2 linked regions of the Anolis sagrei genome follow. The protein of the gene in region 1 interacts with the protein of each later gene in a pairwise test. Links are inferred from orthologs where the notes say so. Each region holds a gene or a part of one and is shown on either strand. Other genes may lie near its edges.

Region 1 (8,347 bases):
CAAGCATCCTCAGAGGTTGTGAGATCAAACCTCTGAGGAGGCTTGCCATAGATGCAGGTGAAACGTCAGGAGAGAATGCTTCTAGAACATGGCCATATAGCCCAAAAAACCTACAACAACCCAGTGATTCTAGCCATGAAAGCCTTCGACAATACACCAGTCTTTCTTTCCCCAAACCCTTGGGATCAAGAGGAGAGAATTTCTTAGGGTTGTAAGATTCCCAGGTACTTCTCATGAAGGCTCCAATGAATAAATAGTCTACACCAGGGGTGTCAAAATCATTTTCATGGAGGACTACATCCGCCTAACCCTAACTCTAACCCTAACACTTACCCTAACCCTAATGCTCACAACTTCTGAGGATGCTTTCCATAGATGCAGGCGAAATGTCAGGAGAGAATGCTTCTAGAACATGGCCATATAGCCTGAAAAACCTACAACAACCCAGTGATTCCAGCCTTGAAAGCTTTCGACAATACACCAGTCTTTCTTTCCCCAAAACCTTGAGGTCAAAGGGAGAGAATTTCTTAGGGTTGTGAGATTCCCAGCTACTTCTCATGAAGGCTCCAATAAATAAATAGTCTACACCAGGGGTGTCAAACTCATTTTCATGGAGGACCACATCCGCCTTATGGTTGCCTTCAAAGAGCCATTGAATCCATACACACACACACACACACATAACATTGTGGTCAGTACTCTAATTTTATATATATAACATAGTGGTCAGTACTCTAATTTTTACCCAGTTTGGGTTCTCAGGTGTTACTGAACAACAACTCTCATCACTTTTGATTATATGCCATGAGGACTGGGTATAATGGGACTCGCAACCCAACAGCACATGTGGCTCTGAGGCTGAGAAAAGGCTAAAGGGCATTTTAAAGTCAGGCACCATATCCACAAGTTTTGTATAATCTAGTCCATTATTCTGACTACACAGTACAAATGGAAGCTTTCCGGATGCTATTGTATTACAGCTCCCATCATGATGAGGAATACAGGAGTTAGAATCCAGCCTCTGGAGGAGGGGCACAGAAAAGGATACAGAGGGTGGATTCGGCCCATGGGCCTTGCGTATCACACATGTGGATTACACCAAGCCTTCTCTGAAACATGGATCACAACAGAGCATCTCATGTTGACTCCAGTTACCTTTGGCCTGAGTCTACCCACTCTTCCACCTTTCAGCTTTGAGCTTGCTCCCTTATCTCACCTTGATGCTCCCTTCTATTTTTTTTCCAAATGGCATACTATGTCAATGCCCTTCCAGATTGTTTTCTCTAACCTGACAGGTATCTTAAGACAGGAGCTGTATCTCAGAGTCCACCTTTACCATGCCAGGCCATGGTTGACCATTTCCTTAAACTGAGAACACCCATTCAGCCAGATCCATGAGATCCAAACATACATAAATAGCCTTCCATATTATGCTGATGTCCTTCCAGATTGTTTCTCTAATCTTACGAGAGGAGCTCTATCTCAGAGGTTCCACCTTTGCCATTTCACGCCAAGGTTGACCATTTCCTTGAAGTGGGGACACCCATCCAGCCTGATCCATGAGATCCAAACATACATAAATACATCTATAGCCTTCCATATTATACTAACGTCCTTCCGGATTGTTTCTCTAATCTTACGAGAGGAGCCGTATCTCAGAGGGTCACCTTTGCCATTCCAAGCCATGGTTGACCATTTCCTTGTACTGAGGACACCCAGTTCAGCCAGATCCACAACCAGATCCACACATACATTAATACACACATATATATAGCCTTCCATGCTATGCCAATGTCCTTCCAGAATTGTTCCTCTAATCTTAAGAGAGGAGCTGTATCTCAGAAGGTCCACCTTTGCCATTCCAAGCCATGGTTGGCCATTTCCTTGAACTGGGGCCATCCATTCAGCCAGATCCATGACTAGATCCAAACATACATAAATACACACACACACACACACACACAGACACCACATGGCCTTCCATACTATGCTGATGTCATTCCAGAATTATTCCTCTAATCTTAAGAGAGGAACTGTATCTCAGAAGGTCCACCTTCGCCATGCCAAGCCATGGTTGACCATTTCCTTAAACCGGAGGCACACCATTCAGACAGATCCATCATTAGATCAACACACACACACACACACACATATACGTGGCCTTCCATACTATACCAATGTCCTTCTGGATTGTTTCTCTAAGCTTAAGAGAGGAGCTGTATCTCTGAAGGTTCACCTTCACTGTGGTTGACCATTTCCTTGAACTGGGGACACCAGTTCTATTATCCAAACATACATAAATAAATACATACATATAATATAGATATATAGATATATATCTAGCCTTCCATACTATGCCAATGTCCTTCCGGATTGTTTCTCTAATCTTAAGAGAGGAACTGTATCTCAGAAGGTCCACCTTTGCCACGCCAAGGCATGGTTGACCATTTCCTTAAACCGGGGGCACCCAGTTCAGACAGATCCACGACCAGATCCACACATATATATATATATATGGCCTGCCATACTATGCCAGTGTTCTTCCATAATTGTTCCTCTAATCTTAAGAGAGGAGCTGTATCTCAGAGGGTTCACCTTCACCATGCCATGCCATTGTTGACCATTTTCTTGAACTGGGGATGCCCAGTTCAGCCAGATCCATGACCAGATCCAAACATACAAACACACACACACACACATGGCCTTCCATACTATGCTGATGTCCTTCTGGATAGTTTCTCTGAACTTAAGAAAGGAGTTGTATCTCAGAGGGTCCACCTTCACCGTGGTTAACCATTTCCTTGAACTGGGAACAGCCACATCTATGATCCATACATACATACACACATACATGTATGTATATATATCTAGCCTTCCATACTATGCCGATGTCCTTCCACAATTGTTCCTCTAATCTTAAGAGAGGAGTTGTATCTCAGAGGGTCCACCTTCACCGTGGTTAACCATTTCCTTGAACCGGGGACACCCAGTTCAGCCAGATCTTTTATCTAAACATACATAAATATATAAATACATACATATAATATAGATATATATTTAGCCTTCCATACTATACTGATGTCCTTCCAGATTTGTTCCTCTAATCTTAAGAGAGGAGCTGTATCTCAGAGGGTCCACCTTCACCATTCCAAGCCATGGTTGACCATTCATATGCAGAACATCTCAGCCAGATCCATGCATACATAACTACACATAACTATATATATGTATGTATGTAGTTATGTATGTGCATGGATCTGGCTGAGATGTTCTGGGTGTGAATGGTCAACCATGGCTTGAAATGGTTAAGGTGGACCCTCTGAGATACAGCTCCTCTCAGATAGATAGATAGATAGATAGATAGGATATAGATATATATACAAAGACTCCCAGCTGACCCCTTACCTGCAGACGGTGATGAGGTTCTTCCTCTCCACCGCAATGTTCCGGGAGGAGACCTTCTTGGAGGAGAGCCCCAGCGCCATGGTGGACTGGAGGCAGCTGGGTTCCATCCAGGGGAGGGATCTTCTGGATCGGCCGGGCGCCGCTACCACCCGCTTGCCTTCCTCTTCCTCCTCCTCCCCCTCCCCTCCCCCTCCCCCTCTTCCCTCCTCCTCCTCCTCCTCCCCACCACCCCCTCCCCTCCCCCGGCCCCTCCTTCCCGCCCTCCCCCAGAAGACGAGGCGTTGGGTGAGCCTCCCCCAAGATCGGATGGCTCGGAAGTATCGGCCTCCTCTCTCTCGTCCTAAAATTAGCTCCAGCCCCCTTTCTTGGAGGGATCAAGGGAGGCGGTGGGGAGGGAAGGGGGTGCTGGGAAAGCCGCCAAAGAGGAGATCGGGGTCGGAGGAGGACCAGGAAAGGGAGGGAGGGCGGGGGGAGAGAGGGAGGAGGGCAGGCCGGGAGGAGCTCTCCTTGGTGCTGATTGAAAAGCCGGCCCTCCTCCTTCCTCGAAGAGGAAGCAGCCCCCTCCCTTTGGAGGCCGGTGACGTCATGGCTGGTGATGGGAAGGAGTTGGGAAAGGGAGGGAGGGGGAGACAGGAAGGGATCGAGGGAGAGGAAAGGGATCAGACTACAACTCCCATGATTCTTGATTGTGGGGGGATGTATGGGAGTTATAATCCAATCCATCAGAAGGCAGCTTTCAATAAAGGATGTCCAATGCCTTGAAACTTTGACTGTGTGGATCATAATAAATTGTGGCAAGTTCTTGGTGGGATGGGCGTACCAAGCCACCTTGTCTCTCTTCTGAGGAATCTGTACAAGGACCAAGTCGCAACAGTCAGAACTGACCATAGAACAACAGACTGGTTCAAGATTGGGAAAGGCGTACGGCAAGGCTGCATCCTCTCACCCAACCTTTTAAACTTGTATGCAGAACACATCGTGCGATGTGCGGGGCTGGATGAATGCAAAGCTGGGGTGAAAATGGCTGGAAGAAACATTAACAACCTCAGATATGCAGATGACGCCACTCTGATGGTCGAAAGTGAGGAGGAGCTGAGGAGCCTTCTAATCAAGGTGAAAGAAGAAAGCACAAAAGCTGGGTTGCAGCTAAACATAAAAAAACCAAGATTATGGCAACAAGAAGGATTGACAACTGGGAAATAGAGGGAGAAAACGTGGAGGCCGTGACAGACTTTGTATTTCTGGGCGCAAAGATTACTGCAGATGCAGACTGTGGCCAGGAAATCAGAAGACGCTTACTTCTTGGGAGGAGAGCAATGTCCAATCTCGATAAAATAGTAAAGAGTAGAGACATCACACTGGCAACAAACATCCGCATAGTCAAAGCCATGGTATTCCCTGTAGTAACCTACGGATGTGAGAGCTGGACCTTAGGGAAGGCTGAGCGAAGGAAGATCGATGCTTTTGAGCTGTGGTGTTGGAGGAAAGTTCTGAGAGTGCCTTCGTCTGCGAGAAGATCCAACCAGTCCATCCTCCAGGAAATAACACCCAACTGCTCACTGGAGGGAAGGATACTAGAGACAAAGCTGAAGTACTTTGGCCACATCGTGAGGAGACAGCAAAGCCTAGAGAAGACAATTATGCTGGGGAAAGTGGAAGGCAAAAGGAAGAGGGGCCAACCAAGGGCAAGATGGATGGATGGCATCATTGAAGTGACTGCTGACCTTGAAGGAGCTGTGGGTGGTGACGGCCAACAGGGAGCTCTGGCATGGGCTGGTCCATGAGGTCACGAAGAGTCGGAGACGACTAAACGAATGAACAACAACAATGCCTTGAAAAAGAGCCATCCCTGTTATCCCTCCCTGCCCATTCTTTTCAGGCATTCATACAGTTGGACCTTCGAATCCACGGATTCTGTATCCACGGATCCAACCACCCAGAGATTGAAAATATTATCCTCCACCACCCAAACCCCCCCCCCCCAAAAAAACCACACCTTGATTTTGCCATTTGATGTAAAAAAAAGCATTTTCTTCTACCCTTCCACACAGCTGAATAAAATCCCACATTATCCTCTCTGAACTGGAATATATTTTATTTATTTAAAACGTTGATATTCCTCCCTGCTCACCCCAAAGGGGACTCAGGGAAGAGCACAGCATATTTATATATTTATTTACAGTATTTATATTCCACCCTTCTCACCCCGCAGAGGGCTCAGGGCGGATTACAATGTGCATATACATGGCAAACATTCAGTGCCATTTATTTATCGTGTTAGGGGCAACCAGACCATTGTATTACATTTCTAACAGAACAAAACAACCAAACAAATTTAAAAAACCACAAAGTTTGCAAGCTTGGGAGTTGATTAAATGTCCTTTGACCATTATCTGGCCACTTGGAGTGCCTCTGGTGTTGCTGCAAGAAGGTCCTCCATGGTGCATGTGGCGGGGTTCAGGTTGCATTGCAGCAGATGGTCAGTGGTTTGCTCTTCTCCACACTCACATGTCGAGGATTCCACTTTGTATCCCCATTTCTTAAGATTGACTCTGCATCTTGTGGTGCCAGAGCGCAGTCTGTTCAGCACCTTCCAAGTCGCCCAGTTTTCTGTGTGCCCAGGGGGGAGTCTCTCATTTGGTATCAGCCATTGATTGAGGTTCTGGGTTTTGGACTTTTGGACTCTCGCTTGCTGAGGTGTTCCAGCGAGTGTCTCTGTAGATCCTAGAAAACTATTTCTAGATTTAAGTCGTTGACATGCTGGCTGATACCCAAACAAGGGATGAGCTGGAGATGTCTCTGCCTTGGTCCTTTCACTATTAGCTGCTACTTCCCGGCAGATGTCAGGTGGTGCAATACCAACTAAGTAGTGTAATTTCTCCAGTGGTGTAGGGCGCAGATACCCCGTGATAATGCGGCATGTCTCATTAAGAGCCATAGACACACAACATATATAGACAGACACTCAGAGGCTACTTAACATTCCAGCTACTGGCCACCAGGTGAGCTGTCACTTCACCGTCCATTTGTGACACTGATGAAGTACTTCCTCGTTCTCTGCATACTTCCTGGAGATTTTTATGGCTTCGTAAATCAGTTAAATTAGCCTCCCCACATAAATGGTACCTAAATTTCCTACTTGACAGATGCAACTGTCTTTCGGGCTGCAAAGGTCGACAACAAGCTACACAATTTTGGTCGGGAGCTCACTCCGACCCGGGCTGGCTTCGAACTCATGACCTTTCTGTCAGTATTGATCTTAATACAACTGACTCCCAGCCAGCTGTACCACATATATGGCCAACGTTCAATGCTGTGACATGGATTCATATACGGATACATAAATATGAAAAACTTTTATTTCAATATTAAAATACACAATTTAAAACCATCCTGGTCATTAGTGTCAAATCTAATTGGCCTGGTAATCTTTCCTACTGCTGCTTTATTGCCCTGTCCTGAACCTTGGTCCCACAGCCAAGTTTTTACCATCCTTCTGAAGGACAGGAGGGAGGGGGCCGACCTGATCTCACCAGGAAGGGAGCTTCATAGCCAGGGGGCCATCACCGAGAAGGCCCTGTCTCTCAACCCTACCAATTGCGCCTGTGACAATAATGAAAAGGAAAGCAGGGCCTCCCCGGAGGATCTTAATCTCCGCAGTGTGGCAGTGTGGACTCAGATAATCCTGTTCAAAGCAGATATTGTGGGATTTTCTACCTTGATATTCTGGGTTATATGGCTGTATGGGGAGCCCCGGGTGGCACACCAGGTTAAACCACAGAGCTGCTGAACTTGCTGACTGAAAAGTCCATAGTTTGAAAGGTTGGCAATTCGAATCCGGGAAGTGGAGTGAGCTCCCACTGTTAGGCCCAGCTTCTGCCAACCTAGCAGTTCAAAAACATGCAAATGTGAGTAGATCAATAGGTACCACTCCTGTGGAAAGGTAACAGCATTCCATACAGTCATACCAGCCACATGACCTTGGAGTTGTCTACAGACAACACTAGCTCTTCGGCTTAGAAATGGAGATGAGCACCAACCCCCAGAATTGGACATGACTGGACTTAATGTCAGGAGAAACCTTTACCTTTACTTATGGCTGTGTGAAAGGGCCCTATGTAACATGATTTCTATTCCTGATTATAAATACAATTTCCTAATTGGTTCTATCTAAGGTTCTGTTTTATTATTCCGATGGAGGCCACTAGGGGGCACTAAAGAGAGAAAGATAGTCCATTTTACAGGGGGAAGGAGTTGAAGGAGGAAAACCATTTCCCCTTGTTTTCAGTGGTGATTCCCCCTCCCTGCTTTCCATTTCATAAACCTTTCCACAACAGGGACATAGGTTGAAGGAATAACAGGAAAATAGGAGGAAGTAGTTTTCCTTCTTCAACCCACCCTCCATGTCCATAAAATGGACTATCCTTTTCTCTCTAGCACCCCCTAGTGGCCTCCGGCCAGATAATGACACAGTATCCCATTTCCTTCTGCCATGATGTAACACACTTTTTGTTCCTGAATTATAAATGTCATTTCTTAATTGCTTCTATCATAAAAACATGGTAAAAACATGGATGCACCGTATGCTAAAACAGTGTTTCAGAGAGGAAAGATTATAGACAAAAGTGGATAACATTATGTAACACATTTTTCCTGGGTTATAAATGTCATTTCCTAATTGTTTCTATCATAAAAACATGGGGGAAGTTTATTAAACTGCAAAAAAATCTGCAGCACATTTTGCAATAGTTTTTCAATAAATATCTCCTAAAATGTGGATCAAGTTCTTGGTGGTATGAGGATACAAAGCCACCTTGTCTGTCTCCTGAGGAATCTGTATAATGACCAAGTAGCAATAGTAAGAACTGACCATGGAAAAACAGACTGCGATAGGCGTATGGCAGGGTTGTATATTCTCACCCAACCTATTCAACTTGTATGC
Region 2 (8,206 bases), on another chromosome or scaffold:
ACGTCAGGAGAGAATGGTTCTGGTACAAGGCCAGACAGCTCGGAAAACTCACAGCAACCTAGAGATTCCGGCCATGAAAGCCTTTCAAAACATATCATTTTATTGTTCCCTACCCTGACTCCCTTCAGGGAGATAGGGCAGCATATAAATAAAATGTATTACTTGTGAGTTTTCTGGGCTATATGGCCAGGCTCCAGAAGCATTCTCTCCTGATGTCTCACCCACACCTATGGCAAGCATCATCAAGATGTTGTGAGGTCTGTTGGAAACTAGTCAAGTGAGGTTAATATATCTATGGAATGATGTCCAGAATGGGAGAAAGAATTCTTGTCTGCTAGAGGCATGTGTGAATGTTCCATCTGCCACCTTGATTAGAATTTAATGGCCTTATTGTTCCCTGCCCTGAGTCCTTTTGGGGAGATAGGACAGTATGTAAATAAAATTTATTATTGGGTGGCTTTGAGTGAAACGTCAGGAGAGGATGCTTTTGGAACACGGCCAGACAGCCTGGAAAACTCACAGCAACCCAGTGATTCCTGACGTTAAAGCTTTCGACAACACAGAAGACTGGCCAACACTTCCAAGCCTTGGCATTGGACAATATTTGTATATATTACTATATTGTAAGGCTTTGCTAGGCCTCAGGGCCTTTGGGGCTTCCTTCCTTCTCTCCTTCTACCCCGAACTTGGCCTCAATCCACCCCAAAGACAGAGTTTTATATTTATTTTTCCTCAAGAATGGCTTATTTTCAGGGAAACATGGTACCTCACACTGGTGCCTTTCTCCCACTGAGGCATTCTCACACTGAGGGATTTAACCCTAAGTTTATAGAGGCCTGACCAACGCTTCCCAGCCTCTCCCCACGGCCTTTGGGGCTTCCTTCCTTCTCTCCTTCCACCCCAAACTTGGCCTAAATCTACCCAGAAGACAGAGTTTTATATTTATTTTTCCTCAAGAATGGCTTTTTTTCAGGGAAACATGGTACCTCACACATGCCTTTCTCCCACTGGGGCCTTCTGACACTGAGGGCTCTAACCCTAACCCTATGAGTCCAGAGGCCTGACCAACACTTCCGAGCCTCTCCCCACGGCCTCTGGGGCTTCCTTCCTTCTCTCCTTCCACCCCAAACTTGGCTTACATACACCCAAGGCCTAGCGAGGCCTAAGCTTCCAGAGGCCTGACCAACGCTTCCCAGCCTCTCCCCACAGCCTTTGGGGCTTCCTTCCTTCTCTCCTTCCGCCCTGAACTTGGCCTAAATACACCCTGATGATAGTTTTATATTTATCTTTCCTCAAAAATGGCTTATTTTCAGAGAAACATGGTATCTCACACTGAGACCTTTCTCCCACTGGGACCTTCTCACACTGAGGACTCTAATCCTAAGCTTCCAGAGGCCTGACCAACACGTCCCAGCCTCTCCCCACAACCTTTGGGGCTTCCTTCCATCCCAAACTTCGCCTAAATCCACCTTGAAGACACAGTTTTATATTTTTCCTCAATAATGGCTTATTTTCAGAGTAACATGGTATCTCCCACTGGGGCCTTCTCACACTGAGGACTCTTGCCCTAAGCTTCCAGAGGCCTGACCAATGTTTCCCAGCCTCTCCCCAAGGCTTCCAAACACAGTTTTATATTTATTTTTCCTGAAGAATGGCTTATTTTATGGTACCTCACACTGAGACCTTTCTCCCACTGGGGCCTTCTCACACTGAGGACTCTAACCCTAAGCTTCCAGAGGCCTGATCAACACGTCCCAGCCTCTCCCCACGGCTTTTGGGGCTTCTTTTTTTCTCTCCTCCCGCCCTGAACTAAGCCTCAACCCACCTCGAGGCGCCTGAGGCCTAACCAACGCTTCCGAGCCTCTCCCAACAGCCTTTGGAGCTTCCTTCCTTCTCTCATTCAACCCCGAACTAAGCCTTAATCCACCCCGAGGTGCCTGAGGCCTAAACAACGCTTTCGAGCCTCTCCCCACGGCCTTTGGGGCTTCTTTTTTTCTCTCCTCCCGTCCTGAACTAGGACTCAACCAACGCTTCCCAGTCTCTCCCCACAACATTTGGGGCTTCCTTCTTTCTCCCATTCAACCCCGAACAAGGCCTCAATCGACCTCGAGGTTCCTGAGGCCTAGCAAAGCCTTTGAGGCTTCTTTCCTTCTCTTCTTCCACCCTGAACTAGGCCTCAATCAACCCCTAGGACCCTGAGGCCTAGCGAAGCCTTTCGGGCTTCTTTCCCTCTCTCATTCAACCCCAAACTAGGCCTCAACCCACCCCGGAGGCGCCTGAGGCCTAGAGAAGCCTTTGGGGCTTCTTTCCTTCTCTCCTCCCGCCCTGAACTAGGCCTCAATCAACCCTGTGGTCCTTGAGGCGTAACCAACACTTCCCAGCCTCTCCCCACAGCCTTTGAGGCTTCCTTCTTTCTCTCATTCAACCTCGAACAAGGCCTAAATTGACCCCGAGGCTCCTGAGGCCTAGCAAAGCCTTTGGGGCTTTTTTCCTTCTCTCCTCCGGCCCCGAGCTAGGCCTCAACCCACCCTGAGGCTCCTGAGGCCTAGCGAGACCTTTGGGGCTTCCTTCCTTCTCTCCTCCCGCCCTGAACTAGGCCTCAACCCACCCCGAGGCTCCTGAGGCCAAGCGAGGCCTTTGGGGCTTCTCTCATTCTACCCCAAACTAGGCCTCAACTCACCCCGAAGAGCCTGAGGCCTAGCGAAGCCTTTGGGGCTTCTTTCCTTCTCTCATTCTACTCCAAACTAGGCTTCAACCCACCCCGAGGCGCCTGAGGCCTAGTGCGGCCTACCCGGATGTACCTGAGGGAGTCGGAGCAGGATCCCCGCGGCCTGGATGAGCTCGCAGCCGGTGATGCGGAGCTGCCCCTCGGTCTCGACGTCGAGGCCGCTGCCCATGGAGGGCGTGAAGCGAAGCGCGTCGTCCGAGAGGAGGCAGTTCTCCAGCGTGATGAGCACCCCGGAGTAGAGCCGGTCGCCGATGCGGACCGCGCCGGGAGGAGGAGGCAGAGCCGGCGGAGGGAGAGACGCCGCCGAAGCCGCGGGTCCGCCGCTGGACGACGACGAGGAGTTGGACGAGGCCGAGGAGCCGAAGCCCGGCGCTGAGGAGGCGGCGGCGGAAGCGGCTCCTCCCGTCGTCGTGGTGGTCGCGGCGGCCATTTTGTCCCCGACTGGCCTCTTCCTGTCTCGCGCGAGGCTTTTGTCTCCCCCTCAGCCCGGCTCGCCTCCTCCTCGCCTCCCATTGGTCTCCTCCCGCCGAGAGGACGCTCCTATTGGGCGACCGCGTTGTGACGTCAAAGGCGGGGGCGGAGCGTTGCTTTTCGGTTTCGAATGAAGGGGAAAAAAAGACGTTAGGGAGGCTTTCTCCCAGCATGCAACGCGCCCCAAAGGAACTCTTCCCAAAGGCTTTGGGCCTAGTCAGAGCAGGACTCAGTCAGCTTCAGACTATAATAAGAAGAAATATATATCATTATATTGAACTATTAGTAGTATAAACTCATAATAATATAATGTAATACAATATTTAATAATACAGTTGCTGTATTTTAAGAAATATATATCATTATATTGAATTATTAGTATAAACTGATAATAATATAATGTAAGACAATATTTAATAATATAGTTGCTGTATTTTAAGCAATACATCATTATATTGAATTATTAGTAGTATAAACTCATAATAATATAATGTAATACATTTAATAATATAATTGCTGTATTTTAAGAAATATATATCATTATATTGAATTAGTAGTATAAACTCATAATAATATAATGTAATTCAACATTCAATAATAAAATTGCTGTATTTTATAGTATTGCAGCATATTATATTATATACTATTATATTGTATTAGTAAATGTAGATAATATAATATATAGTACAATATATTTATTTATTTATTTACTGTACTTGTATACCGCTGTTTCTCAGCCTAGCTGGCGACTCAACGCGGTTTACAACAAAATACCAAATACAATAGTCAACAGTATACAATTTAAAACCATAAAAACATAATACACAATATTGGTACATCAATAACAATCCAAAGCATCTCCTGACTAAAATCGTGATCCAGTTCCGTCGTCCATATTACCAATCCTTTAATCATCACATTCATTGCACCGAATTAACCAAATGCCTATCCGAACATCCAGGTTTTTAATCTTCTTCGGAACACCATCAGCGAGGGGGCTGATCTTACCTCCATGGGAAGGGCGCTCCATAGCCGAGGGGCCACCACAGAAAAGGCCCTGTCTCTCGTCCCCGCCAGCCGCACCTGTGAAGCAGGCGGGATAGAGAGCAGGGCCTCCCCAGAAGATCTTCGGGTCCAGGTGGGCTGATAGGCCGAGATACGTTCGGATAGGTAGGTTGGGCCAGAACCGTTTAGGGCTTTAAAGGCCAACGCCAGCACTTTGAATTCAGCCCGGTAGCACATCGGCAGCTAGTGGAGCTGGTGCAGCAAAGGAGTAGTATGCTCCCTGCGCTCCGCTCCTGTTAATATCATGGCTGCCGAACGTTGGACTAATTGGAGCTTCCGAGCCGTCTTCAAAGGCAACCCCACGTAGAGAGCGTTGCAGTAGTCTAAACGGGATGTAACCAGAGTGTGGACTACCGTGGCCAAGTCAGACTTCCCAAGGTACGGGCGCAGTTATATATTACATGTACTGTAATATTACTAATAATATTGCAGTATATCATAATATTCTATATTATATTGTATTAAAATTAGTGTATATTAATAACACAATGTAATACAATATATTTATAATACAGTATATTTAATAATATAATCATATATTACATGTAATACTAATAATATTGCAGTATATTATATATTATTATGTTGTTTGTTGTTCACTCGTTCAGTCGTCTCTGACTCTTCGTGACCTCATGGACCAGTCCACGCCAGGGCTCCCTGTCGGCCGTCACCACCCCCAGGGTCTCCTTCAAGGTCAGTCCAGTCACTTCAAGGATGCCATCCATCCATCTTGCCCTTGGTCGGCCCCTCTTCCTTTTTCCTTCCACTTTCCCCAGCATCATTCCCTTCTCTAGGCTTTGCTGTCTCCTCATGATGTGGCCAAAAGACTTCCACTTTGTCTCTACTCTCCTTCCCTCCAATGAGCAGTCGGGCTTTCTTTCCTGGAGGATATAATATACTGTATATTGTATATTATATATTACATGTAATATGACTAATAATATTGCACCATATTATAATATATTATAATTATATTGTATTATTACCATATTGTTTCACATTATATTGATAATTATATAACATAATATACTAATAATATAATATAAAATAATTGTATGTATTACATGTAATATGATTAATAACATTGCACTATATATTATAATGTATTATTAGAATATTGTATCATATTATTTTGATAAATATATAATGTTATATACTAATAATAATATATTATATATATTATTGTATGTTATATATTACATGTAATATGACTAACAATATTGCACTATATTGTAGTATATTATAATATTATAATTATATTGTATTACTAGCATATTGTTTTACATTACATTGATAATTATATAATGTAAAATACTAATAATATAATATATAATTGTAAGATATATATTACATGTAATATGACTAATAATATTGCACTATATATTATAATGTATTATAATATTGTATCATATTATATTAATAATATATAATATAATACAGTATACTAATACAATATAAAATATGACTAATAATATTGCAATATATTATGGTATAATTATATTGTATTATTAGAACATTATATCATATTGATAGTTATATAATGTAATACAATATACTAATAATAATACAATATAATATATATATTACATATAATATGACTAATAATATTGCACTATATTATATGATTTCTTGTTAGAATATTGTATCATATTATATTGATAATTATATAATATACTACTACAATGTAAAAATTGTATATTATATTTTATATATAACATAACTAATAATATTGCAGTATATTATAGTATAATTATATTGCATTATTATTAGATGATATATTTATAATTACATAAATAATATACTAATAATAATACAATATAATATATATAATAATTGTATGTAATATGACTAATAATATTGCACTATATTATGTAATGTATTCTTGTTAGAATATTGTACCGTATTATATCGATAATTATATAATGTAATACAATATACTAATACAATATAAAATAATTGTATATTTTATATGTAATATGACTAATAATATTGCAGTATATTATACTATAATATACTGCAATATTATTAGTCATATTACATATAAAATATACAATTATATTGTATTATTATTAGAATATGGTATCATATTGATAATTATATAATATAATACAACATACTAATAATAATACAATATAATATATAATAAAATGATTGTATATTGTATTTTACATGTAATATGAGTCATACAATTGCACTATTGCACATTATATTGTATTATTATTTGTATATTGTATTACACTATATAATAATTGTATGTTGGTCATTGTTCTGCTCCCAAGAAGGAAACGTCAAATAGCTTGCCATTTGTCCTGAACCATGAGCATGAAAACATAGTAGTTAAAGTGGCTTCAAACTGCATTAATTTCAATGTAGATGCACCCTTAGTATCTACTTCCAAGCAGTGGAACTGTCTCCCAAAGAGGCCCAATTGATTAGCTGTCCCTGATGGTTTCTTGTCTGGAGTTCCCCTGTCTTCTTTTCCTAGCCAGACAAAGATCAATTATCATCCCAGGCAGACCTTCAGCTTTTAATTTCACAGAGCCTTCTTCCTTCTATCCTTCCAGAGAAGACAAGGCAACGAATACAGAACCGGAGTGTCCACACTGCCACATTTTCAAGAGCTCTTTGCCCGCATTAGGACATATATAATACGATTTGTAGACAGAGGCAAGGTGATTCCACTATAAAAAATGGCTGCCAAACAAGACCCAAACAGTGTATTGTCGAAGGCTTTCATGGCCAGAATCACTGGGTTGTTGTTATGTTTTCCGGGCTGTCTGGCCATGTTTTTTATGTGCTTTTATGTTTTTTATGTTTTTTATGCTTTTAACTGTATACTGTTGATTGTTATATTATGTTGTAAACCGCGTTGAGTCGCCGGCTAGGCTGAGAAACGGCGGTATATAAATATAGCAAATAAATAAATAAATAAATTCTAGAAGCATTCTCTCCTGACGTTTCTCCCACATCTATGGCAGGCATGCTCAGAGGTTGGGAGGTCGGTTGGAAACTAGGGGAAATGGGGTTTATCTATCTGTGGGGTGGGAGAAAGAACTCTTGTCTGTTGGAGGTAGGTGTGAACGTTTCCATTGGCCACCTTATTTATTTATCGTGTCATCCGCAACCAGAACATTGTATTATTGTATTATTTATCGTGTCATCCGCAACCAGAACATTGTATTATTGGCCACCTTGATTAGCATTTAATGGCCTAGCAGCTTCAAGGTGTGGCTTCTTACTGCTTGGGGGAATCCTTTGTTGAGAGGCGATTAGTTGTCCCTGATGGTTTCTTGTCTGGAGTTCCCCTTTTCAGGAGACCCAAACATCCCATACAAAATCTCCAAACACTAGCAGAAAAGAAAAACCTTCTCGCCATTTCAGCAAGCCACAGACCAAATTTTCCAAAACAGTCCCATTTTTAATTTAAGCCCAGCGACATCTTCAAACATATTTAAAAAGGCGTGAGAATATCCCATTGGGTTCCTTTCCATCTCCTTGGGCAGCGAGCAGGCCTTCTTCTCCTCTCCTTTTGGCTAAAGCAGCTAAGGACTTGAACGTCCTCGGCTCGTAGATCGCCAGGTCGGCCAGCGCTTTCCGGTTCAGTTCCACTTGACACTGAAATGACAAAGGGGGGAAAGTTGGCAGTCGAAACCCCTCAATTATAATATGATAATATAATTATAATATATACTAGCTGTGCCCTGCCACACGTTGCTGTGACCTGTAGTAAGAATTTTCGAAGTAGAAGTAGATATCTGGACCTACCTATTCCTTCCCCCCTTTTTCTTCCCCTTTCTCTCCTTTCTTCCTTCTGTACCTCTTTCTTTCATTCCTTCTTTTGCTCTTTGGTTTCATCCTTCCTTCTCTCTGTCTTTCCTTCCTTCCCTCTCCCTTTCTCTACTTCTTCCTTTGTCTCCTTTCTTCCCTCCCTGTTTCCTTCCT

Evidence for each region. The genes of interacting proteins can lie anywhere in the genome.
Region 2: the proteins of RUNDC3A (region 1) and CCNL2 interact in binary tests that used the Homo sapiens proteins (3 or more experiments, as listed by UniProt). The two-hybrid records come from large-scale screens. The link is inferred for Anolis sagrei from reciprocal best matches to the Homo sapiens genes RUNDC3A and CCNL2.

What each region holds. Positions count from the first base shown.
Region 1 is NC_090026.1:44,452,038-44,460,384, forward strand, and holds the start of RUNDC3A (RUN domain-containing protein 3A), read right to left. Parts: upstream 3,599-8,347; 5' UTR 3,513-3,598; coding exon 3,406-3,512; intron 1-3,405. UniProt on the Homo sapiens protein: May act as an effector of RAP2A in neuronal cells.
Region 2 is NC_090033.1:5,457,665-5,465,870, forward strand, and holds the start of CCNL2 (cyclin-L2), read right to left. Parts: upstream 3,185-8,206; 5' UTR 3,159-3,184; coding exon 2,802-3,158; intron 1-2,801. Other genes in the region: MRPL20 (large ribosomal subunit protein bL20m), read right to left, coding at 7,706-7,879. UniProt on the Homo sapiens protein: Involved in pre-mRNA splicing. May induce cell death, possibly by acting on the transcription and RNA processing of apoptosis-related factors.